7 linked regions of the Ovis aries genome follow. The protein of the gene in region 6 interacts with the protein of the main gene of each other region in a pairwise test. Links are inferred from orthologs where the notes say so. Each region holds a gene or a part of one and is shown on either strand. Other genes may lie near its edges.

Evidence for each region.
Region 1: the proteins of CEP76 (region 6) and SALL2 interact in binary tests that used the Homo sapiens proteins (3 or more experiments, as listed by UniProt). The two-hybrid records come from large-scale screens. The link is inferred for Ovis aries from reciprocal best matches to the Homo sapiens genes CEP76 and SALL2.
Region 2: the proteins of CEP76 (region 6) and NHLRC2 interact in binary tests that used the Homo sapiens proteins (3 or more experiments, as listed by UniProt). The two-hybrid records come from large-scale screens. The link is inferred for Ovis aries from reciprocal best matches to the Homo sapiens genes CEP76 and NHLRC2.
Region 3: the proteins of CEP76 (region 6) and PARD6B interact in binary tests that used the Homo sapiens proteins (3 or more experiments, as listed by UniProt). The two-hybrid records come from large-scale screens. The link is inferred for Ovis aries from reciprocal best matches to the Homo sapiens genes CEP76 and PARD6B.
Region 4: the proteins of CEP76 (region 6) and CABP5 interact in binary tests that used the Homo sapiens proteins (3 or more experiments, as listed by UniProt). The link is inferred for Ovis aries from reciprocal best matches to the Homo sapiens genes CEP76 and CABP5.
Region 5: the proteins of CEP76 (region 6) and AKT1 interact in binary tests that used the Homo sapiens proteins (3 or more experiments, as listed by UniProt). The link is inferred for Ovis aries from reciprocal best matches to the Homo sapiens genes CEP76 and AKT1.
Region 7: the proteins of CEP76 (region 6) and KIAA1143 interact in binary tests that used the Homo sapiens proteins (3 or more experiments, as listed by UniProt). The two-hybrid records come from large-scale screens. The link is inferred for Ovis aries from reciprocal best matches to the Homo sapiens genes CEP76 and KIAA1143.

The regions. Positions count from the first base shown.
Region 1 is NC_056060.1:23,991,272-23,995,501, forward strand, and holds the start of SALL2 (sal-like protein 2), read left to right. Parts: upstream 1-1,430; 5' UTR 1,431-1,625; coding exon 1,626-1,698; intron 1,699-4,230. UniProt on the Homo sapiens protein: Probable transcription factor that plays a role in eye development before, during, and after optic fissure closure.
Region 2 is NC_056075.1:33,891,393-33,894,892, forward strand, and holds part of NHLRC2 (NHL repeat-containing protein 2), read left to right. Parts: intron 1-2,058; coding exon 2,059-2,290; intron 2,291-3,086; coding exon 3,087-3,209; intron 3,210-3,500. UniProt on the Homo sapiens protein: Required for normal embryonic development.
Region 3 is NC_056066.1:78,706,353-78,710,370, forward strand, and holds the start of PARD6B (partitioning defective 6 homolog beta), read left to right. Parts: upstream 1-1,218; 5' UTR 1,219-1,434; coding exon 1,435-1,500; intron 1,501-4,018. UniProt on the Homo sapiens protein: Adapter protein involved in asymmetrical cell division and cell polarization processes. Probably involved in formation of epithelial tight junctions.
Region 4 is NC_056067.1:54,626,352-54,630,506, forward strand, and holds the start of CABP5 (calcium-binding protein 5), read right to left. Parts: upstream 2,801-4,155; 5' UTR 2,697-2,800; coding exon 2,610-2,696; intron 925-2,609; coding exon 894-924; intron 391-893; coding exon 247-390; intron 1-246. UniProt on the Homo sapiens protein: Inhibits calcium-dependent inactivation of L-type calcium channel and shifts voltage dependence of activation to more depolarized membrane potentials. Involved in the transmission of light signals.
Region 5 is NC_056071.1:66,964,250-66,967,749, reverse strand, and holds part of AKT1 (RAC-alpha serine/threonine-protein kinase), read left to right. Parts: intron 1-1,334; coding exon 1,335-1,446; intron 1,447-1,523; coding exon 1,524-1,671; intron 1,672-1,984; coding exon 1,985-2,116; intron 2,117-2,362; coding exon 2,363-2,428; intron 2,429-3,410; coding exon 3,411-3,479; intron 3,480-3,500. UniProt on the Homo sapiens protein: AKT1 is one of 3 closely related serine/threonine-protein kinases (AKT1, AKT2 and AKT3) called the AKT kinase, and which regulate many processes including metabolism, proliferation, cell survival, growth and angiogenesis.
Region 6 is NC_056076.1:43,547,447-43,550,946, forward strand, and holds part of CEP76 (centrosomal protein of 76 kDa), read right to left. Parts: intron 2,244-3,500; coding exon 2,026-2,243; intron 1,637-2,025; coding exon 1,498-1,636; 3' UTR 1-1,497. UniProt on the Homo sapiens protein: Centrosomal protein involved in regulation of centriole duplication. Required to limit centriole duplication to once per cell cycle by preventing centriole reduplication.
Region 7 is NC_056072.1:16,468,001-16,471,498, reverse strand, and holds part of KIAA1143 (uncharacterized protein KIAA1143 homolog), read left to right. Parts: intron 1-1,164; coding exon 1,165-1,309; intron 1,310-3,498.

The sequences.
Region 1 (4,230 bases), on a different chromosome or scaffold from region 6:
TCATTGCCAACGATGGTTTTTTTGTTATTGTTGTTTGGCCATACCACATCTTAGTTTCTTGACCAGGGATCAAACCCACATCCCCTGCATTGAAAGTGCAGAGTCTTAAACCACTGGACCACTGGGCAAGTACACCAAATGATGTTCTTAAAGATCAAATTTAATATCCACAAAGAAATTCTTTCCACAGAATCCTTGACAACTGTTTTCTGTCTCTGTGAGAGCATGTCGCAAAGAGCTCATAAATTTACAGGAGAAGCCATCACACTTTATAAAGTTCCTTTATACTGAGCTGAAGGTGCCTCCTTGTAACTTCTGTTCTGGTGGTGCATGAATGCTCAGTCATTTCAGTCGTGCCAGACTCTTTGCGACCCCACGGACTGAAGCCCACCAGGCTCCTCTGTCCACGGAATTGTCCTGGTAAGAATATTGGAGCAGGTTGCCATTTCCTCTTCCAGGGGATCCTCCTGACACAGGGATCCTACCTGCGTCTCCTGCATTGGCAGGCGGGTTCTTTACCACTTGAGCCGCCAGGGAAGCCAATGTCTCCTCTGGAGTACCACGGAACTCTTCTGTATGATTTTAGCAAAGGTGGCATCCCTTCCGCTCTGGGAGCTGGAAAGAAGTGGGAGACACAGAAGAGCCCCTGACCCTGTGGGTATTTTAAATGAGATTCCTTAAGATCAATCATTTTCATTTTACATGCTAGGAGTTTGGTGGCATATTGTACGTTTTAACACTATAGAGGAAAAGAAAAAAAAAAAAGAACTAGACTACTGTCAGATCCACCTGGGTGCCAGGGCTGTTTCTCTTACATCACAGCTGTGCAATCTTGGACAAGTTACTTAACCTCCCTGAGCCTTTTGGTTCAGCTATAAAGAGGATCATCTATAAATAGGAGTAGTAAAACTGGGTGTGCTAACCTCAAAGATGTATTTCTCAAACTATGCCCCATACATGAAAATATCTTATAAATTTTAAAGAGATCTACATATATATAATGATCATTTTTACTTAATTTTTTGGTCAGCCTTTCTCATTTTTGACTTGCGAGTAACTGAGTTCTTGGCCTTATAATCAGGATATACCAGAAAGTTTTCATTTCCGCTTATACCCCAGAAGCAGTCACATCTTCCAACAAGGTGGCACAGAATCATGAAATAACCAGAAAGCACTGCGAAGAGCTTAGAGGAAGAGTCAGAAAAACGACGGAGGGACATTTTCTGAACAGACAGCAGAGCGAGAGGCCCGGAACCCAGGCAGGGAGGAGAGGGTTAAATCCTTTCCTCTGCAGTACAAAAGAAAAGAGTGTGCGGAAAGATTAGGATTTTTGCTTTTACAATGGGAGCTGCAGAAGCGTAGGGAAGAAGCTGAAGAAAAAAAAAGGGGGCGTCTCCCCTTTAAAGACTTGCAGAGATTGAGAGAGAGTCAGAGACTGAGAATCAGAGCGCGCGCGTGTCTGTCTGTCTGTCCCTGGGAAGCGAGAACATCTCTGCTTCACAGTGATTGGCACTGGGGGAGAGGCATCAGTTGGCTTCAGACCTAGGGGGAAGACCTGACCAGGTCACCCCGATTCAGACTAAGTGAGCGTTGTCCCTCCCTGTCCCACCTCTCTCTACCCGGGAATGTCTCGGCGAAAGCAGCGGAAACCCCAACAGTTAATCTCGGACTGCGAAGGTCCCAGCGCGTCTGAGAACGGTGGGTGCCGGGGAGGGGTGGGGGTGGGGGCCGAGTCCAAGCCTGTGTGGGTCAGGCCAGGGCAAGGGGAGGGCACCCGGGCCATGGGCGAAACCAGGGGGAGGACTTGGTCACTAGGGGGTTGAAAGAGTTGAGTCGCAGGGAGTAAGGAGATGATGACCTGCGCTGGAGTGGAGCCCCGCTTGGCTTTTCTCAGGGTTGATTCTGTTTGTTTTCCATGTTGCTTTTCTTTGGATGAAATGGAGTTTTCAAACTGGCTCTGTCTCCCCACCCAAGAGTTTTCTCCCCAGGTCCCCCTTTGCTCACTGGTCTTTGTGCCCGTTGCTAAGTAACCTTCTCAGACCTGAAGACCCGTCTCTTAGGGGTGGGATTCCCGCCCCCCTTTTCTTTCTGGAGAGTTGGGTTGCAAGAGAATGAATTGGATGAACGTGAAGGTTCCCCTGAGGGAGAGGAGAAAAAAGTTTCTTATTGTTGGGCTGCGCAGAGAACAGATCAGAGCTCCCAGAGGGAGAGAGCTAATGTCGGTCAGATGCAGCCTAGTTTGGAGTGTGTATCTGTGTCACCTAGGGTAGAGGCTAGAGGAAAGGTCTGGATGAGGGCCTTAGGTGGATGCTTCAAGTAAAGCCAAGCTAAAAAAACTGTATGCGTTAACATACATGCATTTTAATACATGCATATCATTTTATGAGGATATTATCATTTATGTAACATTTTCTTTATGAGGGGGGAAATTTTCATGTATTCTTATAACATTCCAGTAAGTAAGAGGCAGCCAACAGAGTAACTAAGATACTGAGCAGTGACATTGCTCAGTCTCAAAAACAGGCATAATCAGGACAGAAACCTTGTTTTCATGATAATCAGAGCTAGTAGTACACACTCCACCTAAATTAGGGTTTTCCAAGCTTGCTTGGTTGTGGGTAGATGTGGGCTAGAGTCTGGGAATCTGTATCTTTGCAAATATCCAGGTACTTCTTAGGAATGAGGAAGTTTTGGATAATCTGGTATGGCTATGTATTTCACACTGACTCAGGGATAAGCTATTTATTTAGCAAACAGCTGATTCACTCAACAATGTAATATAGGAATAAACACAAGGATTCTGAAGGCAGAATTTCAAGATTCAAATCCTGGCTCTACCTCTTGGTTAGCTGTGCAGCCTTTGTGGATTTACTTTGCTTTTCTATGTCTCAGTTTCTTCATCTGTAAAATGGGGATGAATATACTGATTACTATCTCATTGGGTTATTGAGTTAATACATGTTTTAGTACACTTATAAAAATAACTAGCATAAATAAGTGCTTAATACATGTGGTACAGTGCCTAGCATAAATAAGTACTTAATATGTGAGTATTATTGTTATATGTGAGTGCAGTGGCACTTCCTGCAAATTCTGAAATAAGACCAAAGCTCTGGGAACTCTTGGTGAACTTCAGCATTTCTTTATGAGATATGTGTCATGGAAACCTCTAGGATAATGTATTTGGAGTGGCTAAAACTAAAGCATGGATTAAATTTATGTTCTCACCTGCTGTAAAAAAAAAAAAAAAGACTTGAGATCAAGTCAGTGTGCCACATGCTACAGACATATTGGCTTTTGTGTAGAGAACACATCCCCTTCAAGTCAGTGCTTTACTGGGATCCCACTGTGCCAGTATTAAGAGGTTCATGCTGGTGGCATCCTTCCCTCCTGGGACACATTAGCCCCCGCCTTAATGCGGCTGTAGGCCGGATGTTTCCTCCCGCTGCTCTACAGGAGACTTCCCCCAGAGCCTCGGAGTTGCCTTACAGTCCTGCTCCCCTGCTGGTTGGATTGCGGAACAATACTGAATCCCCCCCAGAGGCGTCCTCCTTTCCTCCTCTCTCCCCTCTCTCCCCACTTCCTCAGCTCACCCATTCCCTACACCACTGCTGAGGAAAAGTCTGGGAGGAAGCTACAAATTCTTTCCCTACCGCCCTGAGAGGATTCTCCAGCCCCTTGAGCTGTAGCTCCCACTTGTGGCTGTGAACACCTGGGGGCGCGGAATGCTGCTGCAAAGCCGTCCCCATGGAAACAGTACAGGCCTGAACTCAATGGCAGCAAAGAATTGCAGTTGAAATTTTGCCTTTGAGCCATAAAAGTTAAAAACACAAATGTCAGGAGCAAGAAAGCAGTAGTTAATCTTAAGAAAGCCGATGGGTTTTCTGTTCAGAATTCTCCTGAGAGTGAAAGATCCTTGCGCTACTACCATGACCTGGGGTGTAATGGGGTCTCATATGTAAGATGAGGTGGCTAATATTTGATCAAATCTAAAATTCCTTAGTGCTTTTATAAGATATACAGATAGGGTTTCTATTCACTCACATGATCTTCGGGCTCCTGAGTTTTCCTTCTACCCCAGGGACATTTTTTTTTGTTCTGCACGCCCCCAAATTAGGTAGGGAGGGCTCTTATTTTACAGGTGTACCTGTGGAGCTATGGGCATCATCATGACCATCAACAGACATTTATTTAGTAGGCTAGGATGCCACTAAAGCTTTCAGGAGTCTT
Region 2 (3,500 bases), on a different chromosome or scaffold from region 6:
GATATCCAGAATATCAGATATTCTGAATTGGGTGTGTGTTGCTTTATAAGATGTTTAGCAGCATTTAATCATCCATTGAAAAATATTTTTTAAGCAAACAAGGCACTATGCTTTGCAGTAGGGATGAAATGGTATGGTCTCTTACATAAATCAGAGGAACATCCATTATAAATAAAATTTAAGGTATTAAAGGAAGGCTTCCTGGAAGAAGCTACTAACTAAGATCTCCTTTTTAGCTACTAACTGAACCTGACAGAGGGTAGGAAGGAGTTCAGAAGAGTAGAGGTTTCCCAGGCAAGAAATGACCCTTGTGATGTCAGTAGAAGCCAGATCCTTAGAATCTTTCTAAGAGATTTGAAAGTTATGCTACATGACATTATGGGAAGTTTTAAGCTGGGAAGTGATATCATAAGATTTGTGTTTTTGAAAGAACACTGGTAGCATTTGGAGTGTGGCAATACTACAGACAGGTTCAAGGAGGAGGCCACTGCTGTTATCCAGGCCAGAGCTGACAGAAGCTGAATAGTGAGGTGACCAACAACATAGATGAGGAAAAAAGCAGCAGCAGAGATGACCAGACTACCTTGTTCTCAATGATGACTGTTTTGGACCTAGACGGTCAAGAGTGGTCTAAATTTCACTAAGTAGAGTTGTCACTCATTCACAATAGAAAAGTGTCCAGTCTGATCACACTGACTTGTATTACAATTTCAAGGATGCGTTATTTGTCACTGACCTTCAAGTGGTAATAACTCCTGAACTTTTAGAAGTTACTGTTTCTCCCCACTATTTCTAGCTTTTATTAAGAGAGCTCCTTTGTAAAATTGTTATAAGTCCTTTGTTTGGCATATTTGTTATTACATATAAATAGGCCCTGAATAAATGGCTGTATTTATACATTTTCTATCCCTTTGCTTCCACTCCTTGTTCCCTACATACGTTAGCATTGGGATGATATTAACCAGTAAGTGACTGATGGTTATTTTAGACTTTTTTTTGCATGTTTTACAGTATTAGAAAATGATACAGAGTCTCTCATTGTTTTGTATCCCAAGTTAGCTTCTTCCCTCCCCTCAATACAAGACACTAGCATGTCTTCCTTACAGTTCCTCTGACATAAACTTAGAAACCAAGGTATAAAACTTTCTCCATATTACAAATTATTACAAGTCATTACAATAGTCCTCTAAATAGAAATTTCCCTAGTATGCATAGGAAATGGATTTGTGCAATTGATTAAAGCAGCGAAATCATATTATTACTTTAAAATGAGCACCCATCTTTCACAAATGATTCTTTTAATTCTTCTTGCTAGTCTCTTCTTATATCTTTCGTTGTTTAGTCACAAAGTCATGTCCAACTCTTTTGTAACCCTGTAGACTATAGCCGCCCAGGATCCTCTGTCCATGGAATTTTCCAGGCAAGAATACTGGAGTGGGTTGCCATTTCCTACTCCAGGGGCTCTTTCCAGCCCAAGGATTGAGTCCACGTCTCCTGGTTGGCAGGTGGATTCTTTACCACTTAGCCACCAGGAAAGCCTGGTCTCTACTTATGTACAAGAAAATAAAACATTTTTAATAAAAATTTAAGCTCAGAACTATCAAGAGCTGGAAGAGATTACCTAGATCTTTTTAATCCCCTTTCAGAATCTAATATTGCATGAAACTAAGAAGAGACCAGGATGTAAAGGTGGGATCTAGCTGTACCTGCCTCTGATCATTTGGAGGAAAACTATCCCATCAGTGATGTGATCTTTATTCATGTATTTTTAACTTTGTCGGGGATCTCCTGTTTAATCATTGAGAATAGTTTCACTTTTGTGTATGTTTTAAAAACAGAAAGATAGAAAGGTCCCTATACAGTGGGTGAACAAGTTAATGATTAGAAAAACTACAATGAAAGCTTATTTGCACAATATAACTAGGTCAGGATTAGCAGATTTAAAAAATATATATATAATGCTATCACCATTGGCTTCATTTACATTCATTTGTTTAGTAATTAAATTGGGTCAGTGTAACAGTGTTGACACTTCACCTGTGAATTTGTCGTCTTTAGTGAGTTAAAAAAAGGAACCTGCCTTCGGTTTGCTGGAAGTGGAAATGAAGAGAATCGGAATAATGCATACCCTCATAAGGCAGGCTTTGCTCAGCCTTCAGGCCTGTCTCTGGCCGCAGAGGACCCCTGGAGCTGCCTGTTCGTGGCAGACAGCGAGAGCAGCACGGTGAGAGCCGTCTCGCTGAAAGACGGAGCAGTGAGACCCCTCGTGGGAGGAGAGAGAGACCCCACGGTAATGAAGAGCGCCTCTGCGCCGTGTGCCTGCTGAGCGAGCATGCGATTTGCTGAATTGTGACGTTAGTAAGACATAAAAAAAAAATGAAGTCGCTCAGTCGTGTCCGACTCTTTGCGGCCCCGTGGACGGTAGCCCACCAGGTTGCTCCGTCCATGGGATTCTCCAGGCAAGAATACTGGAGTGGGTTGCCATTTCCTTCTCCAGGGGATCTTCCCTACCCAGAGATCGAACCCAGGTCTCCCACATTGCAGGCAGACACTTTAACCTCTGAGCCACCAGGGAAGCCCTAGTAAGACATAGGAAGGAGAAAATTCTTGGACTTATCCATGTTAAAATGGAAGTCAAACCAAAGGAAATGTGACTATAAAGAAGCACAAGTAACAAAACCACCTTTGAAAAGTTAACTGATCTGATTTGATTCTGTATGAATGTCAAGGCTTCCGAGAGAAAGGAAGGATAAAACTGTGATTACTGAGCAAGGGGAAAGATGAAGAGTAGATAATTTAGCAGGAGGGTGGAAAGAGCTCCAGGGTAAGTAGACCTGAATCAGATGTGTCATTTTTGTGAATAAGATTCCTTAGAACCACAAATTAAAAATCAGGTTCAGAATTCTGTCATTTTTCTCTAGTTTCAGTCAAATGCCCAACCCTATTTATATGAAATCAGACTTTTCCCCATTTAACTTAAGTAGCATGTACAGCCATCTGAATTTTCACTTTATACCCTAACAAAGTTCTGTGAAAAAATTTTAATACATGCTGTTTTTTTTTTCTTTTCAAAAAAAAAAAAAAAGAATTTATTTGCTTTTGGTGATGTTGATGGAGTAGGAATCGATGCGAGGCTACAGCACCCACTTGGAGTAACTTGGGACAAGAAAAGGAATTTACTGTACGTGGCAGACTCTTACAATCACAAGGTGAGTCTTGACAGAATTATATAATACCCTGCTTTTCACTTGTGGTATTTAAAATGCTGAAAGATCTGTGAGCCTCCTACAACTGCCACTCTAAAATGTAGAGAGGAATAACAGTCTTTGACAACTGTACATAAGCCTTTCTGTTCCTTTTTTGGTCCTTTCTTTGCAGAAATGATGTGATAGTACTCTGAGCTGGGGAAAGGACTAAACAAATTCCCAATGACGATAGCCCAAAATTGGGAATTGCAAGCCACTAAAGCTGTTTAGTAAGATCTTCGGGAAATAAGGAGA
Region 3 (4,018 bases), on a different chromosome or scaffold from region 6:
TCTGTGATGAGCCCCTCTGCAGGTGGGTGGGGGGCTCTGGGGCTCTCCTCCTCACCACCCCAGCACTGCCAGTGCTGCAAAGGATCCCTGAGAGGAAAAACTCGGCTCTGAGCATTTAAAGAGAAGGATTCAGTCTTCTGTTATCAAGAACATAGCTTGGTCATTCCACAGGAGGGACAGACAAAACACAAGCTGGCGGCTGTCACTGGTGGACACAGTGAATAGCCCAGAAATGGCTGGAGGGAGAGGAAGATCCTCAAAGGTTAAACATAAATTTAAAAGACAAGGGGGGCGGGGAATCCCTGGAGGGCCGATCTAGAAGTACGGACCTTCGAGGATCCATCCCCGGCCTTTGCCCATTTCCCAGCCCTCCCAGCGCCTACTCGATCCCACGGGACCTGACTGGACTGCAGAAAGTCTCTACCAACGACATTAAGCCAGTAGAGCCCTGCGATTTTTCTCCAGTTACTGTTACAGAGGCGGGAAAACTGGAATTTTGCAATCCGAGTTGCAGCCAGACGACTAGACGCAAATGGGTGACGGAGGGGCGTTGTAGGAGGCTGCAGCATCCCAAAGTGGAAGGCGGTGCAGAAAGCCTGCAGCCCCGCAGCGCCCAGCAACTAGCCGGGAAGAGTGCCCCACGCCCCGGCGGAGCGCGAGCTCCAGCCGGGTACAGAGCAACCAGGCGCGCGCCCGCGCGTGCGCTAAAGGCCCACCCATCCCAGCGCGTCTCCAGGTGCGCTCGCGCTTCCGGCCGGCCTTCGCTGGGCGGAAACTCCAGGACTCGCGCATGCGCTTTGGAGCTCGCCTGCGGGGTCCGGAGCGCCCCTCCCGGCTTCAGGTGATCCCACCCCTCCCTCGCCGCGCGGGACCAATCGAACGGCGGCAGGCGGGCTTTTCGAGCAGGAGGCCCCGCCCACGCGCGGCGCGAGGCGGGTACCGATTGGTTGGCGCCGCGGGCGCAGGTGCGCGCTTCCCATTGGGTGGGGGCGGAGCGCGGGCTGCCGAGGCTTCGGCGGAGGCTGCAGGTGAGCGCGCGCACGCGCCGCGGCGGCGGCCCGGCCCGAGGGGAGGGAGCGCGCGCGCGCGCGGGGCCGGCAGCCGAGAGCGAGGCTGCGGCGCGTGTCCCCGCCGCTCCGCCCCCTCCGCCGCCTCCGCCGTCGCGGCCGCCGCCGAGGCCGGGAGGGCGGGCTCCGCGTCCCCGCCCGCCGCGCCGCCAGTCCGACCCTCGGTCCTGCAGCGTGAGGAGCCAGCCGAGCGGGGCCTGGCGCGGAGACGCGAGCCGCGGCCGCCCCTCTGCAGGTGCCTGTGAGGAGGAGCCCGGGCCGCCGCCGCCGCCGCCGCCGCGTCCCGAGCCCGCCGGCCGCGCACTCGCCCCGCGCGCCCCCGAGGGGCGGCCCGGCTGGAGGAGGCCGCCGCGGGCCCGGCCTCAGGATGAACCGCGGCCACCGGCACGGGGCGGGCAGCGGCTGCCTGGGCACCATGGAGGTGAAGAGCAAGGTGCGCGGGCCCGGGCAAGCTGGGGGCCCCCGGGGGCGGGGGGCCGCAGTGACCGGGCCTGGGGCCCCCAGGGGCTGGCCGGGTGTATGGGGCCGCCGGGGCCGCGCTGGGGGGACTTGGGGGCTGGAGACGGTGGGGAATGAACTTGCCGAGGATTGGCGGCGGGGGGCCCTTGTGTCCGCTCCCGCCCCCAGGTAAGGCAGGAGCCCCACCGAGCGCTTAATCCCCTTCCGTGAGCAATCATTCCCCTTCAAGGATGGGAGTCAGGCCCAAGGCATACCCGAGGATGGGGGGGCATTTGAGCGAGCGCAACGTGGTACGAAAGGTTTGGAGGAATTCTGCCTTCTGGCATGTGAGTAAAGAGTTTGAAACATCCGTAGTCACCCAAATGTAAAAGTTAGCCTTTGCTTCCTGTAGGGATTTTTCGAACACGAACTTTGGTATGCATTGAATCTTGTAAAGTGAACACTGTCACCTTTCGGGTGAGTGGCACTTAGCAGTTTTGAGTTTGGATGCCCTTCTCATTCCATCCTGCTACTCTTTCAGGTCAAGTGTTTTTTCCCTCTTGACCAACGGTATGCCTATCTGCCGATGACAACGTGTGGGTATCCTCTGAATTCCTAAATTGCAAGGCTCCCTGAGCAGGACAGTGTATCGGGATTAGTGAGGGAATGCTTTCTAAGGGAGGTTTTGAGCTGGAATTTGAAGACGATCGGCAGCCCCAAGAACATTCTCAAGCAAGCATTTCATGAATTGAAGAGCCAGAAGGGACTTAGATAATCTAGTCTGATTCTCGGAGAAGACAGGGGCTCAGAAAGGTTTTGACTTCAACAAGCTCTGCTTTTTATGACAAAACCTTAAAGCCCTTTTTACAAGATAAGTTTTAGGCCTTCTGGAATACTAAAGAGAGCACGCGGAGCTGAGCCCCCTGAACGTTTAAAATAAGAGTTGGAAAGATCAAGACACAGGGAAGAGTAGGAGAAAAGGAAAAGCGTATTAACTTCAAAAATAATGAAACCTTACTGAATATAAGATAACAGGGATGTGGTAGAAGGGAGAACGCAAAATCAAGGAGTGATTTTCAGTGAAGGAGAGTAAGGAAGGCTCTCTGGGGTAGAAGGGTTTTTATTATCTGGAGTTGATAAGTGAAGTCCTGTAAGTTGCCATAACTGAGATCTGCATTCATTTTTAACATTTTAAGACATCATTTTCAACTTAACTGGTATCACAGTAGGTACTAATTTCAAAAACCCTTCTGCTTAATAAGAACAGAAATATAGCAGGTTCAGAAATACACTGTCTCCTGTGTCCTCCATGGAATTGCCATGGCAAATTGAAGTGACATGCTTGAACTAAGAGTTAAGATAACAAAATATATAGCGAGTTTTTCCTCTAGCATATAGTGGTAGTAGTGGTTCTGTGGCCAATGGTTGAACCTTCTCACAGCATTTCTGTTATAAATCTAGTTTGGGTTTGTGGGAGTTGAGGTTAAGGAAAGAAAAACACGATATTGCGTAATCTTAAAATTCAGTTTGTGGTCCTAATCTTGGTAGCAAGTCTTTAACTTTTTATCATAGGAAAAAAATGAGTAGGGATTCTAGGTGCTCTGATTAAATACAGTCAAATGGTAATTTATCTTTCAGATTAGGAAACCTTGAGCGTGTAGGGACTAGAATTTCAGGCTTTCCATGCTTCTCTTCTGTCAACTGGTTTGTGAATCTTTCCCACACTACCCATTATATATTTGGCCTGCTCTTCTGGTAAACCGTAGCTCTTAAACAGAATCAAGGGTCCCACTCATTCTAGCTGCTGATCAGTAGGCACAGGGGAAGTACAGTTTCCAGTGCGTCTCTGACACCTTGTGTTTTAACTGTACATTTATTTTTAAGGGGTTAAAGAAAAGCACTTGACATCTTCACCATTTAAACAATATTTGGACAGATAGGTGGAACAATATGTCCATTTTCACTGCTTTGGTGGTAATATTACAGCTTTTTACAAAGTTGATAAGGAAGAGGTTGTGACCCCAACTCTGTGGTATGCAGATCCACATTTCAGGATTTCTTTTTCTTCTACATAAAAAGCAAGTTGTCAACGTCATGTCTTTGCTCATGGAAGGAGAAAATGCTACAAATAAAGTAATGGATCATGCAAATATAAGTATAGTTAAGTTGTGATACCAGTTACCATGTGACTTTTCTTTACAGTAACTTTCTGGTAACATTTATCTTCCTGTATCTATAGAGTTGAGAGAGCTATTAATAATCAAGGAGATGTCCTTCAGCAGTCTTGGATGTCAAAGACCTGGAATAGTCATTGAGCTGTACATTTCCTGGTTATTATTCATGGGGAACCAATACTAAAATCAAGTTTACATTTCTAAAGTGTTGTACCTAAAAATGCTGGGTGATGGGTGTCCATCCCCATGACCAGGCCAAACTAGACCAGGCTAAAAAAAAGTTTGAATAGTTGTTGATTGAGTCTTAATTTTATCTCTATTTTTGTATTTTTTTTCACG
Region 4 (4,155 bases), on a different chromosome or scaffold from region 6:
TCTCATAATGACTACAACTAGTAAACAACAGAATGGAACTTGAACCCAAATCTATCTTTAAAATCACCCTTTTAACCACTTCAAATGCTGCCTCCCTAAGTACAGTCTGAGCAGTTTTCTTCCAGACGTCTAGCCCTGCTTTCCTCCTCCCCATCTCCAGCTCTACTCTCAACCTCCATATGCTTCCTGACTTCACTCTTAACCCTCCCCTAAGGCCGGGTCATTCCTCCCACCCCCAAGCCTCACAGTTCATCCGGATCTGCTGGCCCAGTTCAATCAGTTCCATCTCCGTGGGCATGTAACCCATTGTCCTCATGAGATTCCCCAAATCCTTACAAGAGATGAACCCATCTCGGTCCTTGTCAAACTCAAGAAATGCTTCCCGGAGCTCTGAAAGTTAAGAGACAAGAACTTTGGGGCAACTTGAAACAGTCACTGGGGGAAAGGAGCATCCCTTGAAACTGTCAATGAGGCACCAACTCAAGACTCCTCAAAAAAAAAAAATATTATAAAAATGTCCAAAAGGAGAGATATATGAAGTGTGTTAGCAAGAGGCATAATTCTCGAGACCACCAAATGATAGCACTGAAGTCCTTCACATTGTTGGGTGAAGTAATGAGAAACTTCAAAACCACCAAGAAAAAAAAAAGAATAATTTTGGACTTATCCTTAAAACTCAGGCATCATTCATGGGTCTCTGAGACACTTGGGGGTCAGGATGGCTTCTGAACACTTTGGGAAGTACTTAAACTGCCACGAAATCACAGTTGAGTGGGAAGAGAGAGTGATGTAAAATTTTTGTGTCGAGGGATTTATGCTGAAATGTACAAAGGAACAGAGGGCAGGTGAATGGGTGGATGGTGATACGGGGATGTCTGGGGGAGAAGTGTTACCTTCAATCTCATCTGGTCCCAGTGGTCTTTCCTAGAAAGGAATGCGGGGGGTGGGGGCAGGATTTGGAAAGAGAATCAAGAGACCCACATTCACTTCTCCAAACACGTCTCATCCTCATCCTTTCCTGGTCCTTTCCCCTTCTCCCTCCCCTCCACCCTTCTCACCTTCCTTCTCCCACCTCCTGACTCCCCGTCCCTGGCTATTTGCTCCTCCCACTCCTCCTCACCCCCTTCTCATTTCCTCTCTCCCTTGGTCTCTCTTCTCCTGCCTTTCCCCAGTGGACATCCATCCCATTGTGCCAAAACAGATCCTGGGGGCCATGAAATCCAGTCTCCTCCAGATGAGGAAGAGTCAGACTTAGAATCAGTTAACATACTCAGAGTGCTAACTGTGCCGGGCTTCCACAATCATTTCATTTCAACTTCAGAACCACCCTGGAGGTCGAGCCAAATACCATTCCCATCTTACTTAAGAGAAAGCTGAGGAACAGAGAGGTTAAGGAACCTGTCTGAGGTCACACAGCTCATAAGTGGCTGGGTGAGAATCCCTTGGTGTAAGAGCTGTGTTCAGTGGCTCCCAGGCAGGATGAACACAGCCAGCATAACCAATTTCTGAAACCCTTTCATATTGCCACTAGCCACGCCAGGACATACCTGAAGGGTCAGGCTTGAGCACGTAGCACCTCCCCAGGAAAATTCCATCAACCCCTGGCCTCTTTCAGCCCCCATACCTCCCTTTACCCTTGGAGACTTTTTCCCACCTTCTCTTTTTTAGTATCCCCTTCCCCGCTCCAGCTGGGGCTTCCCTGGCAGCTCAGAAGGTAATCTGCCCACAATGCAGGAGACCCAGGTTCAATCCCTGGGTCAGGAAGATCCCCTGGAGAAGAGAATGGCAACCCACTCCAGTATTCCTGTCTGGAGAATTCCATGGACAGAGGAGCCTGGTGGGCTACAGTTCATGGGTCACAAAGAGTCAGACATGACGAAGCGACTAATACTTTCACTTTCCCCCCAGTTAGTTAGGCTTAAAGACTAACAGTGAAAAGCATGCCCATTGGAATCAAACGGTTCTGGCCCTGCCATTTACTAATTGTCAAAGCTTAAAGCAATGGACTTCATGACTCACAGCCTTACCTTCCACATCTATAAAATGGGAATGAAGGCATTACGGACCTCATGAGTCATTGATTGTGAGGATTAAATAATATCAAGAATGAAAAACCCTTTGCACAAGTCTGGGCACACAGCAATGACTTAAGTGGCAACTACAGACTTCCCTGGTGATCCAGCGGCCAAGACTCCGTGCTACGGTGCATGGGGGCCAGATTCAATTCCTGGTCAGGGAACTAGATCCCACATGCTACAACTAAGACCCAGCACCAATTAAAAAATAATAATCGACAGCTACTGTTATCCCCACCACCACCACCGTCGCTGGCATCACTATGGGTGTCTGTAGAAAACAATGATGTTGGTCAACAGTGACGTCACCCCAGTTCCCCTTTGTCTCCTCTTTCATCTTCTGCCTTCCGGTCCTGACTTCTGAGTTCACCCTCCCCTCCCTGACCCACGTGTCCCCACCGTGCTCCCTGGGATTCTTTAACCTTCTCAGGTCATGCTCTACCCCCTGCTCCCCTCTTCCACCTGCCGGTCACAGCCCTTCTCTTCCCCGCATCCCAGCTTCCCACCGTCCTTCCCCATCGCCCCCAGCCTCACCCGCTGTTTCTCCGCGATGCCTTTTCTTAGGAAGATGCAGGCAGGACCCATGGGAAACTGCATGGAGGGTGTCATGGTGGAGCTCATCAGGCTCCGATCTCAAGAGGCCGCACCCCTCCTCGACTTCAGGTCCTCCTTTGGTGGCTCAGCCTCCTTTGCTTCTCCGCCAGTCCTTGGCCAACTCTGCCTGCCTCTCCCCCGGTCGCCCTGGCTCCCTTGGGGCTGTGACAGCTGGGTGGGAAATCTCTTCTCAAGTTGGGGAGGGATCACAGCTGTTCCTGCCTCCCCATCTGGCTTGAGGGAGACTGGAGGGTGGAGGGGGGGAGCCAGTGTCAGGCTCTGACCTTTTATCCCCAGAATAGAATTGGAAGGATAGTTGCAAAAACGAGGATTAGAGCGGAGGGCATCCATTCATACAACGTTCCAACAGGCACGTGGCGTGATCGGCCTAAGCCTGGCCTCTGCTGGCCTTTGTGCAAGTGAAGACGGAGAGCACACGGCCCCTGGCTTCCAGGAGCTCTGGAGTAAGCCAGGAACGTGAGTACACGAGCAGAATGCGAACATCACGTGAGAACCTGACTTTGGGAATAGGCAAGTATAGTGGCTGGTTCAGCCGCCAAGTCATGTCCGACTCTTCGAGACCCCCATGGGCTGCAGCACACCAGGCTTCCCTGTCCCTCACCATCTCCCAGAGTTTGCCCAAGTTCACGTCTGTTGAATCGGTGATGCCATCCAATCATCTCATCCTCTGTTGCCCTCTTCACCTTCTGCCCTCAACCTTTCCCAGCACCAGGGTCTTTTCCAGTGAGCCAGGAGGGTGGTGTTTGCCCTTCCTCTGCTCATTTCTTCCCTTCCCTTCTTTTTTTCCTGAACATTTCAGGGCAGGAGGGGCAAGGTAGGCATCCACACTGATGTGGGTAGTCAGAGGCCACAGTGAAGCGATAGAGAGACTTCCCTGGTGGGGGAATTTAAGACTCTGTGCTTCCACTGCGGGGGGCGCAGGTTCAATCCTTGGTTGGGGAACTAAGATCCCAAGTGCCACGTGGTGTAGTAAAAAAAAAAAAAAAAAAAAAGTGGGTGGGTTTGGAGGCAATAAGGGTTGCGTGGCCCAGAGTGTTGGCGCCTGGGAAGTTGAGGATGAACCCACAGAAGAGCAGCCTGGTACAGGATACTGGAGCATGAACTGGGTGACGAGGTTTATCTACACGCGGGTATCACCTCATCTAGGGTAAGGGTTTGCACTGTGAGCAGAGTGACGATATCCACTCATGGAGGTGGCGTGGTGCAGGGTGTTGAAGCCAGATCATGGAGAGAAAGGCGTCCCCACAGGAGCAGACAGCAAAGGAGAAGGGAGATTGGTTACACATGGGATTATACTAGGGATAAAGGGAATCGGGGTTCTCGCTGCTGGAAAAGGGAGTTTTTAATACAGAAAGGGGAAAAGTTAGAACAAGCTCTGTGGTGTTGGACTGGAACTGGAGGCACTGTTATGCACTCATGGACTTCAATATATAGGGAGGGATACACAAATAAACGGGCTTCCCAG
Region 5 (3,500 bases), on a different chromosome or scaffold from region 6:
CGGCGGGGGGAGGCCCAGGAGGCAGGTCCCCTCCGGCAGCCCCGTGGCCGTGAGTCTGGGCTCCCCACGGGGCCCCCGGGGCTGGGCTGGGGGCTTTGGGCCTGGGAAGGATGCTCAGCTGGGCAGCTGCCACCTCGTGGGGAAGGAGGTTCCTCGGGAGTGTTGCCCAAACTCAGCGCAGGGGAGTGTGGGGGCCGTCAGGACACACATGGGAGGTGAGGACCACCCAGAGGGGCTTCCAGCAGCAGGTGGGGCAGGGGCTTGAGGCAGGCCTTAGGCCACAGGAGGAGGAGCAGAGCGGACAGGGAGGGCTGGGCGGCTCCGCGGGGGCCTCTGCGGCAGGGGCTGTTCACTGAGGAGGAATTGCCGGGGTGGGGGGCGAGAAGTCAGGCCCTGGATGGGCCTGGGTCCTGGGGACTCCTGGTGGTCTCCGGTGGGCAGAGTATGGAGGAGGGTATGCGGACCCCGAAGGCTGCCGCACAGATTTTCCTCCCTCTCCTGCCCCGGGTAGACGTGGGCCCCCAGCACCACTCCCCACCCCCACCACCCCGGAGACCCCCGCCCTGGTCCCCAGCCTGGCAGACCATTCCTTGCTTCCTTGCACTCGGCTGAGCCTGGCGGGGCCCCCGCGGTTGCCAGGGCCTAGACGCTGGAATGTCGGAGGCCCCTGCACTGGCCCCAGGCCCCTCCTGCCTCCACCGGCCGAGCTGGAACCCAGCCCCGCTCCGGGCCCTGGGCCCTCCCACAGCTCCTTCTCTGCAGGTGTGCGCGTTTGGGGCACGTGTGCTCCAGGCGTGCGTGCGCTCCCAGGCCTGCCAGCCGGTCTCCGCTCCTGCGTGCACCGGGGTTGTGGGCAGCAGCGTGGAGAGGGTCAGCCCAGGCGGCCTCTGGGGTGGACGGGTGGCCTCTCCAGAGGATGAGTCATTGCCAGCCTCCATCCCGGGCCTGGCCCTGCGCTGAGATGGGGCCGGGAGCCCGCTGGTCCTCGTGTGGCTGGGGGGTGGGACGCTCCTGCTCGGGAAGCTGGGGAGCAGCTCTCCCAGAGGCCTCCTCCCCGCCAGCCCCTCCTCAGGCCCCCCAGGTCCCCCATCCTCCTCCTGGCTGAGGACCATGTCCTGGGTGGCTGGGGAGCTCAGAGACCAGAGGACAGGCCTTGGAGATGGATCCGTCCAGTCGCAAACACCCCCTCAGGGGCACTGCCTAGCTCTCAGCAGGGCTCCAGCTGGAAGGGAGCTCTGGCCCCCTTTTACAGGGCGGGAGACTGAGGCTTGGAGAGGTCTGGCCTGCGGTGGGTGGGCCGGGATGCTGTGCAGACAGGTGCTGCCTGCCCTTAGAATGCCAGCTGATGAAGACGGAGCGGCCGCGGCCCAACACCTTCATCATCCGCTGCCTGCAGTGGACCACGGTCATCGAGCGCACGTTCCACGTGGAGACGCCCGAGGAGCGGTAGGGAGCGCAGGCGCCGCGGCCGGGGAGGCCCCGGGCCCCGGGCAGAGCTGGGGTCTCACCTGAGCATCCCGCAGGGAGGAGTGGACCACCGCCATCCAGACGGTGGCCGATGGGCTCAAGAGGCAGGAGGAGGAGACGATGGACTTCCGGTCGGGCTCACCCGGCGAGAACTCGGGGGCCGAGGAGATGGAGGTGTCGCTGGCCAGGCCCAAGCACCGCGTGGTGAGCCCCAGCCCTGCCCCACACCGCCCTCCCAGCCCCTGCACGGAAGCGGGGGCGACGCGCCGGGCGCAGGGAGGCCTGGGAACGGCTCTCCCACCCCCCGGACCCCAGCGTTCCCAGTTGGGGCGCACAGCCCTGCAGTCTCCCTTGAGCCCCGGACCCCCAAGGACCATCCTCCCCCCCGCCCGCTGCCCCAGCCTCACCGTCCTCGGCCCGAGGCTGCCCGCGGAGACCCCGGCCCCGCTCAGCGCTGCTGGGCCGCCGGCGGTCAGCGTGCAGCCCCCTGATCCTGGCGCCTGCACGCTGCCCTCAGACCATGAATGAGTTTGAGTACCTGAAGCTGCTGGGCAAAGGCACCTTCGGGAAGGTGATCCTGGTGAAGGAGAAGGCCACAGGCCGCTACTACGCCATGAAGATCCTCAAGAAGGAGGTCATCGTGGCCAAAGTAGGGGCGGGGGGGGCGGGGGGGCCGGGGCTGGGGGGGCGGGGGCGGGGCTGGGGGAGGGCGGGGGGCGGGGGGGGGCGGGGGGGCCGGGGGCGGGGGGGGGGGGGGGGGGGGGGGGGGCGGGGGGGGGGGGGCGGGGGGGGGGGCGGGGGGGGGGGCGGGGGCCGGGGGGGGGGGGGGGGGGGGGGGGGGGGGGGGCCGGGGGGCCGGGGCCGGGCAGGCGGCTCAGCAGTGCCCGTCTTGCAGGACGAGGTCGCCCACACGCTCACAGAGAACCGCGTTCTCCAGAACTCCCGGCACCCGTTCCTGACGGTGAGCGCGCCCCCCCCCCCCCCCCCCGTGCCCCTGGGGACCCCAGCCCGTCCTCCCTGCCAACCCAGCAGGCTCGGAGCTTGGACGATGGTGGGCGGGCCTGCGGGAGCGGCGTGGGGGTGCACAGAGCGGGCAGGGGCTCCCGGCTTCCCTCTGTCCTGCTGAGACCCCGGGAGGCTGCACTCCCCGCGCCCACCCTGCTGCTCCCGGCAGGCGCTCCCTGTCCTGGGGGAACTCGGCCCAGGAGGGATGTAAGGAAAACCCGAGCAGCAAGGCGTTGGCTGGACTTAGCCGCCAGGCCTGGCTGGCCGTGCTCCCAGGTCAGCAGTCAGGCGACCGGGTCAGCCTCCAGAGTCTTGTCCCCGGGACCACTGTGCTCAGCACGGTGTCTGCTCTCCAGCGGACGCCTGGTCTAACGCGCGGGGAGAGCCGAGCAGCAGGCAGGCTCCTAGGATGTTTTCTCAGGAGAAGTGTGAGGCGTTAAGAGCAGACACTGTTTGTCCGCCCAGCCCAGAGTTATCATGACCGTGGCTTTGCCGCCTCCGCTTCATTTTGCCCCTTCCCCTCTGTCTGGCCAGAGGACTGTGAGGAGAAGGCCAGGCTTTGTCATGCCCTCCACTGGGTACCGGCCACCTCAAGTCCTGTAGGGATCCGGACTTGCTCTGCCTGGGGACGCTTGCCTCCCTCCGGCTCTCCCTGGGGATGGGGGATGGAGCAGGACGTGGGGGAGGGTCTCACGTCGGTATCTTCATGAGCTGGGGGCCATCCCATCAGTAGCAGTCTTTCTTTTGAAGTGAGGCTGCCTGTGGTTTGACGCGTGAGGGCAGTGGGTTGCATCCTGCAGGGGAGTCTCCACGTGGTCAGTGGACCTGCAGCTGCTGGTCCTCGGGCATGGCCTTTGGGGCAGCTGGGGGTCTCCTGCTCCACGGGGCAGACCCCCTGCCCAGCCAAGGGCCAGGTTCGAGCTCTGCTTCCCTCACAGGCCCTGAAGTACTCCTTCCAGACGCACGACCGCCTGTGCTTCGTCATGGAGTACGCCAACGGGGGCGAGGTAGGGCCCTGCCCCTGCGCT
Region 6 (3,500 bases):
CTGCCTCCTAGTACATGCCTCACAAATAGTTTGTTCCAAAAGCTGAAAATTACAAGCCATTTTTCCTGTTGATAGCTTTGCAAGTAACTCTGGTAACAGACCAAAAAGTCTTAATTCTTATCTTGCTGATTCTCTAAAGTCATGTCAGTCTCAAGAAACTTCTGATTTCTGGTCATTTTCAATAAAAATTGGTATGAGAGATTATTTTCAGACTTTTAAAACAAGTTATATCATAAATAATTACATATGTAAAAATTAAAAAGTAAATTTTAGAGTATCTTTAGATTTTAATTTCTAAAATATCATTTTATTTGCCATGTTGAATTAGCAATGAAAAGCATAACTTGCACAGCCACTTGGTATAGTCACTTTCATAAGAAGCCCAGTGGTTGCAGGAAAGAATGAGAGCTGTACAGAGAGGTGGGTGGATGGCAAGGCAATCCCATCAGGCAGCTTCTCACAAAGTTTAAACCACTACAGCCTCTTCAAAGTGCACTGTTCTCAACTTAAAAACAAACATCAGCATGGAGGCACTCACAGATGCTCGTTTTTCAGTGGCCTCACATGATGATTCTCTGATTTACATTCACCACATACACATGGATGCTTTTATCATAAAGAGAAAAGAAAGAAACAAAAACTGTGATTTCAAAAGATAAACTCCACGAGAGGCTAGTAAAGAATGCTGTGACCACAGAAAATCAGCAACAGACTGCCAATATCAATTATAGAAAACAATTTTCAACATACAACTAAAGGGTATAATAAATTTTTTCTAAAATAATTCAAAAATAAATAAGCAAAAAAAATAATAAAATACACAATTCACTTTTACAATGAATCAAACTAACAAATACTTATAAATTATTTGTATACTTTCATGTGTGGTTTGTTACTAATAATAATGCTTTTCTGGTATGAGTTTTTTCTCTGCTCCTGCACCCATGTCTTCCCATAACTCTCTAGAGAGTCACAAATATCCCTGTAGTTATGAGTAAACCACGAAAGTGGTAAATTCATCAAAATGCATTTCATCTATGTAATAAATAAATGTTGTGAAGTTAATTTCTCCTAATTTATATAAAATAATCCCATTACTCTATGAAAAATAATGATCGTATTAACTTCACTATGGCTCAAATCCTTAGGCAAATAACTTTCTGATTACCTGTTAATGCAAAGAAAACTAAGTAAATTTTATTTTCATATTTAAACTACTGACTACTTATAAGCAAAGTAGTATTTATTAAAATAAGATAAACACTTAATTTATACTACCATCCTCTCAAATTTATACAAGTTTTTCATCCTTAATTTTTAAACACACATCATGATACTTTTCAAACATTATTAGTGAGGCTTATATAAAAGTTAAATATGACATCGAAGCCAGATTGTGATTTTTAAAGTAATGAACCTCAAAACACCTAGTATTATTATCAACACAATGTGTAAAATTCTAATAAAACACAGGTATAGTCTTATAGAAACTTAGTCCTATAGTACTGAGCGATATTTACAAGCAAACATGATCCAAACAGCACAAGCAGATTCAGGGTAAGTAAACACGCGGACACGAACTGCCAGGCGCACCTGGTCTCCACGGCAACAGATGATTTCTTCACAGAAAGGAGACCTTAGAAGAGAGAAAATGGATTCAATTAAGAAATGAATTTAGGTTTTACTTTATTTCCAAGAAAGTCGGGTATTGAAAATGATTTTTAAAAATCCTGTCTCTGTTATCAAGGACTCTGCAACTGTGGTAAAACTATTCAAATTATAAACTATTTCCTCATAGCCAATTAAGTTTTTTAAATTACACTAGACAAGATCAGTGATCCTTGGCAGAAAAACGACCCTGAGCTCTCCAGAGCTACACTCTGGCCCTAATGAATCAGAGTCTGAGGCAAGAGGACAGGTCACTACAGAAGCTCCCTGTGTGACTCTGAAGTCATTCCTAAATTAGTGCCAAGTGTTCACTGAAATTATGTTAAAAACACCAAGACATCATAAATTCCACCTTACCGAAGACATGTGGCAAACGCGCGCCTCGCATTTCTATACACAAAGTGTATTGGGAACCCTTTAAATGTGTGGCCATCAGGCACAGCCCTTCTGATAGCATCCTGAAACTCTTCATTGCCCGCAGATATGCTTGTTGTACGCTCAAATTCATAAGACGCCAGAGCTGGTGACAAGAGATAAGAAAGCTGGTCTTCCCAGACAGTAGTGAGGCCAAGGTCCTACAGCAATTGAAATGGAAAAAGCAAAATACAATATTTAAAGAAACTAATTATAATGTTGATTATTTTAATGTATGCCAAGAAAAGATTTTTAAAATCTGTCATAATTTTCTTAACTTCCTATTAATTATTATAAGGATACAAAGAAGTAAAAATCATAAAAGGAAAAACAGGTATCAGGTTTTACTTCTTAGAGAAATAACAAAAGGCAGCCAATGCAATGATGTTAGTGAAGGCTGCAAATGCTGAACTCCCTTAATATCCACAAGGAAAGACCATAAGGAATTGTCCTACTGAGGAAGACAACATGTCAAGGAATTCTGAGGTCAAATTTTATTTAACTTTAAAGACTTTCACAAGATTGAATCTGCTTAACCTGATTACTCCCACTATCAACTGAACTGTAGTTGGGGAGAAATGTCAACAAATTGCACATATAATTAAACTCAAATATTTACTGAGCATTTATTCTGTAAAAGACACCAAAAAGCAGAAGCTACAGGCCCTCTGGGAGCTTAAGACATGCTGAAGGCAATTATAATTTCACTATGACATCAAATGAACCATTGCTACCTTGACATGTAATTTTTTTAATGCTACAAACTAAAAATTCTAAATATTTTGATTATTATAACAGATCTAATCTCACATTCTGTTATAACTGGTTTCAAGTAGGGATCACTTATCTTCTTCCTGTGACTCTTACCTGTGGGCTTATAGACACCATTAACTTAGCAAGCAACCATCTATGGCATCCAGCTCAGCTTTGTTCTCTTTTTTCTAAACAAGTAGTTCTTATAATGTATTAAAATGTCAGTTTCACAACCTAGATGTCCATCAGCAGATGAATGGATAAGAAAGCTGTGGTACATATACACAATGGAGTATTACTCAGCCGTTAAAAAGAATACATTTGAATCAGTTCTGATGAGATGGATGAAACTGGAGCCAATTATACAAAGTGAAGTAAGCCAGAAAGAAAAACACCAATACAGTATACTAACACATATATATGGAATTTAGAAAGATGGCAATGACGACCCTGTATGCAAGACAGCAAAAAAGACGCAGATGTGTAGAGCGGACTTTTGGACTCAGAGGGAAAGGGAGAGGGTGGGATGATTTGGGAGAATGGCATTGAAACATGTATACTATCATGTAAGAATCAAATCGCCAGTCTATGTCCGATGCAGGACACAGCATGCTTGGGGCTGGTGCACGGGGATGACCCAGAGAGATATTATGGGGAGGGAGGTG
Region 7 (3,498 bases), on a different chromosome or scaffold from region 6:
CAAAACTCAAACCTGCCTGGAGCCCAGAGGCCATGAGCATGGCAAGAAGATAAGACTGTGCTTATAGCTGTGGTTATTGACTCAGGCCAGATCCTGCAGGGCTTTGATGCCCTGTTTGGGGGACAAGGAAGGCTCTGTGAGAAGTGGACTAATCAGCTGTTTGAATACTGTGTGTGGAGTGTGCAAGCCTTGAAACCTAGCATTTCCATTCAGGGAATTCCATGTATAAGTTTGGAAAAGTGAACAAAAACATGCAAAAATTTTATCGTAGTAGAAAAAACTACAAACAACCAAAATTTTTGCTTACAAAGAACTGATGAAATAAACCATGAGATAACCATATATAGAGTTAAATAATAGTAATTTTTAAAAATAGGTGATGCCATATGTATCTCAGGGTTTTGTGCAAAGCGTTTTGTTTTTTCTTTGAATAAAAAAGTTGGGCAAGTGGAGCTTTTATGGTGTCTGATATTTTTCTTAAAAATCTCAATTAGCCAAATGTTACCATGTGTTACTTGTGTAAAGTGAGTACATGGTTTCTGTTACATTATTCTCTGTACTTTTTTATGTTTGGGAATTTTAATAATTTAAAAAGAAAAAAGAAATCAAGTTATATAGTAGTATGTTTAGCGTCCTGTTTGTATACAAAATGTTTTCTATACCTCCACATTTTTATACACTTAGAACAGCTGATGGGATACCCACCAAACAAGCTGCTGGGAGGGAAGAAAGATAAGCAGAGAAGGAGGACCTTTTACTTGCTGTTTCCTGTACTTTGGTGGTGTATTTTTGTTTGTTATGCTTTGAGAAGAGATGGAAGTGAAAAGGGTTGATGAAGAGCAGCAAGAACTGGTGCAGTCCAGCACTTCCCTGAGTAGACTGGGCATGGAACAGAGGGCCCCTGACATCAGGAACTGCAGGTTGGGGTCCTGCTGGGATGGAAACTGGTTCCCCTGGATAGGCACCCCAGAATAACTGGCAGGTGGACCTCTTCCCTACTCTGGCGAGGTTAGATTCTTAAGAGTTAACTTGAAAATTGACTGCCGAACACATTTAGTCAATAAGGTTACTCTTCTCACTCTACTGATTACAGTTTCTCACAGACAGTGGTTGTATTTAGTTCAGGGTCAGAACTAAATTTGTTGTGTTTGTGTTTTTTCCTAGAGAATCCAGCCTCAGCTCCCAGAAGAAGATGGTGATCACAGTGACAAAGAAGATGAACAGCCCCAAGTGGTGGTTTTAAAAAAGGGAGATCTGTCAGCTGAAGAAGTCATGAAAATTAAGGCGGAAATAAAGGCTGCCAAAGCAGGTATGTCTGAAAGTAAGCTGGTTTTCCCACCAATTTAACGTTAGGTATGAAATCATTTTATATAATGGTATGGTATGTTTGATATTTGTCCCGGCAATCTTGATTCCAGCTTGTGCTTCTTCCAGCCCAGCGTTTCTCATGATGTACTCTGCATATAAGTTAAATAAGCAGGGTGACAACATACAGCCTTGATGTACTCCTTTTCCTATTTGGAACCAGTCTGTTCTATGTCCAGTTCTAACTGTTGCTTCCTGACCTGCATACAGGTTTCTCAAGAGGCAGGTCAGGTGGTCTGGTATTCCCATCTCTTTCAGAATTTTCCACAGTTTATTGTGATCCACACAGTCAAAGGCTTTGGCATAGTCAATAAAGCAGAAATAGATGTTTTTCTGGAACTCTCTTGCTTTTTCGATGATCCAGTGGTTGTTGGGAATTTGATCTCTGGTTCTCCTGCCTTTTCTAAAACCAGCTTGAACATCTGGAAGTTCACGGTTCACATATTGCTGAAGCCTGGCTTAGAGAATTTTGAGCATTACTTTACTAGCATGTGAGCACATGAGTGCAATTGTGCAGTAGTTTGAGCATTCTTTGGCATTGCCTTTCTTTGGGATTGGAATGAAAACTGACCTTTTCCAGTCCTGTGGCCACTGCTGAGTTTTCCAAATTTGCTGGCATATTGAGTGCAGCACTTTCACAGCATCATCTTTCAGGATTTGAAATAGCTCAACTGGAATTCCGTCACCTCCACTAGCTTTGTTCATAGTGATGCTTTCTAAGGCCCTCTTGACTTCGCATTACATGATGTCTGGCTCTAGGTGAGTGATCACACCATCGTGATTATCTGGGTTGTGAAGCTCTTTTTTGTACAGTTCTACTGTGTATTCTTGCCACCTCTTCTTAATATCGTCTGCTTCTGTTAGATCCATACCATTTCTGTCCTTTATTGAGCCCATCTTTGCATGAAATGTTCCCTTGGTATCTCTAATTTTCTTAAAGAGATCTCTAGTCTTTCCCATTCTGTTGTTTTCCTCTATTTCTTTGCATTGATCGCTGAGGAAGGCTTTCTTATCTCTCTTTTTTTGCATTTGTTTTCCATGAGGATGGTCTCCTGTCTCCTGTACAATGTCACGAACCTCTGTCCATAGTTCTGTCTATCAGATCTAGTCCCTTAAGTCTGTTTCTCACTTCTACTGTATAATCATAAGGGATTTGATTTAGGTCATACCTGAATGGTCAATGGTTTTCCCTACTTTCTTCAATTTAAGTGTGAATTTGGCAATAAGGAGTTCATGATCTGAGCCACAGTCAGCTCCCGGTCTTGTTTTTGCTGACTGTATAGAGCTTTTCCATCTTTGGCTGCAAAGAATATAATCAATCTGATTTCGTTGTTGACCGTCTGGTGATGTCCATGTGTAGAGTCTTCTCTTGTGTTGTTGGAAGAGGGTGTTTGCTATGACCAGTGCGTTCTCTTGGCAAAACTCTATTATCCTTTGCCTTGCTTCATTCCGTACTCCAAGGCCAAATTTGCCTGTTACTCCAGGTGTTTCTTGACTTCCTACTTTTGCATTTCAGTCCCCTATAATGAAAAGGACATCTTTCTGGGGTGTTAGTTCTAAAAGGTCTTATAGGTCTTCATAGAACCGTTCAACTTCAGCTTCTTCCAAGCATAGGCTTGGATTACCATGATATTGAATGCTTTGCCTTGGAAATGAACAGAGATCATTCTGTCGTTTTTGAGATTGCATCCAAGTACTGCATTTTGGACCTTTTTGCTGACCATGATGGCTACTCCATTTCTTCTAAGGGATTCCTGCCCACAGTAGTAGACATAATGGTCATCTGAGTTAAATTCACCCATTCCAGTCCATTTTAGTTCGCTGATTCCTAGAACGTCGACCTTCACTCTTGCCATCTCCTGTTTATTTGCCTTGATTCATGGACCTGACATTCCAGTTTCCTATGCAGTGTTGCTCTTTACAACATCGGACCTTGCTTCTATCACCAGTCACATCCACAACTGAGTATTGTTTTTGCTTTGGCTCCATCCCTTCATTCTTTCTGGAGTTATTTCTCCACTGATCTCCAGTAGCATGTTGGGCACCTACTTACCCAGGGAGTTCCTTTCTCAGTATCCTATCATTTTGCCTTTTCATACTGTTCATGGGGTTCTCAAGGCAAGAATACTGAAG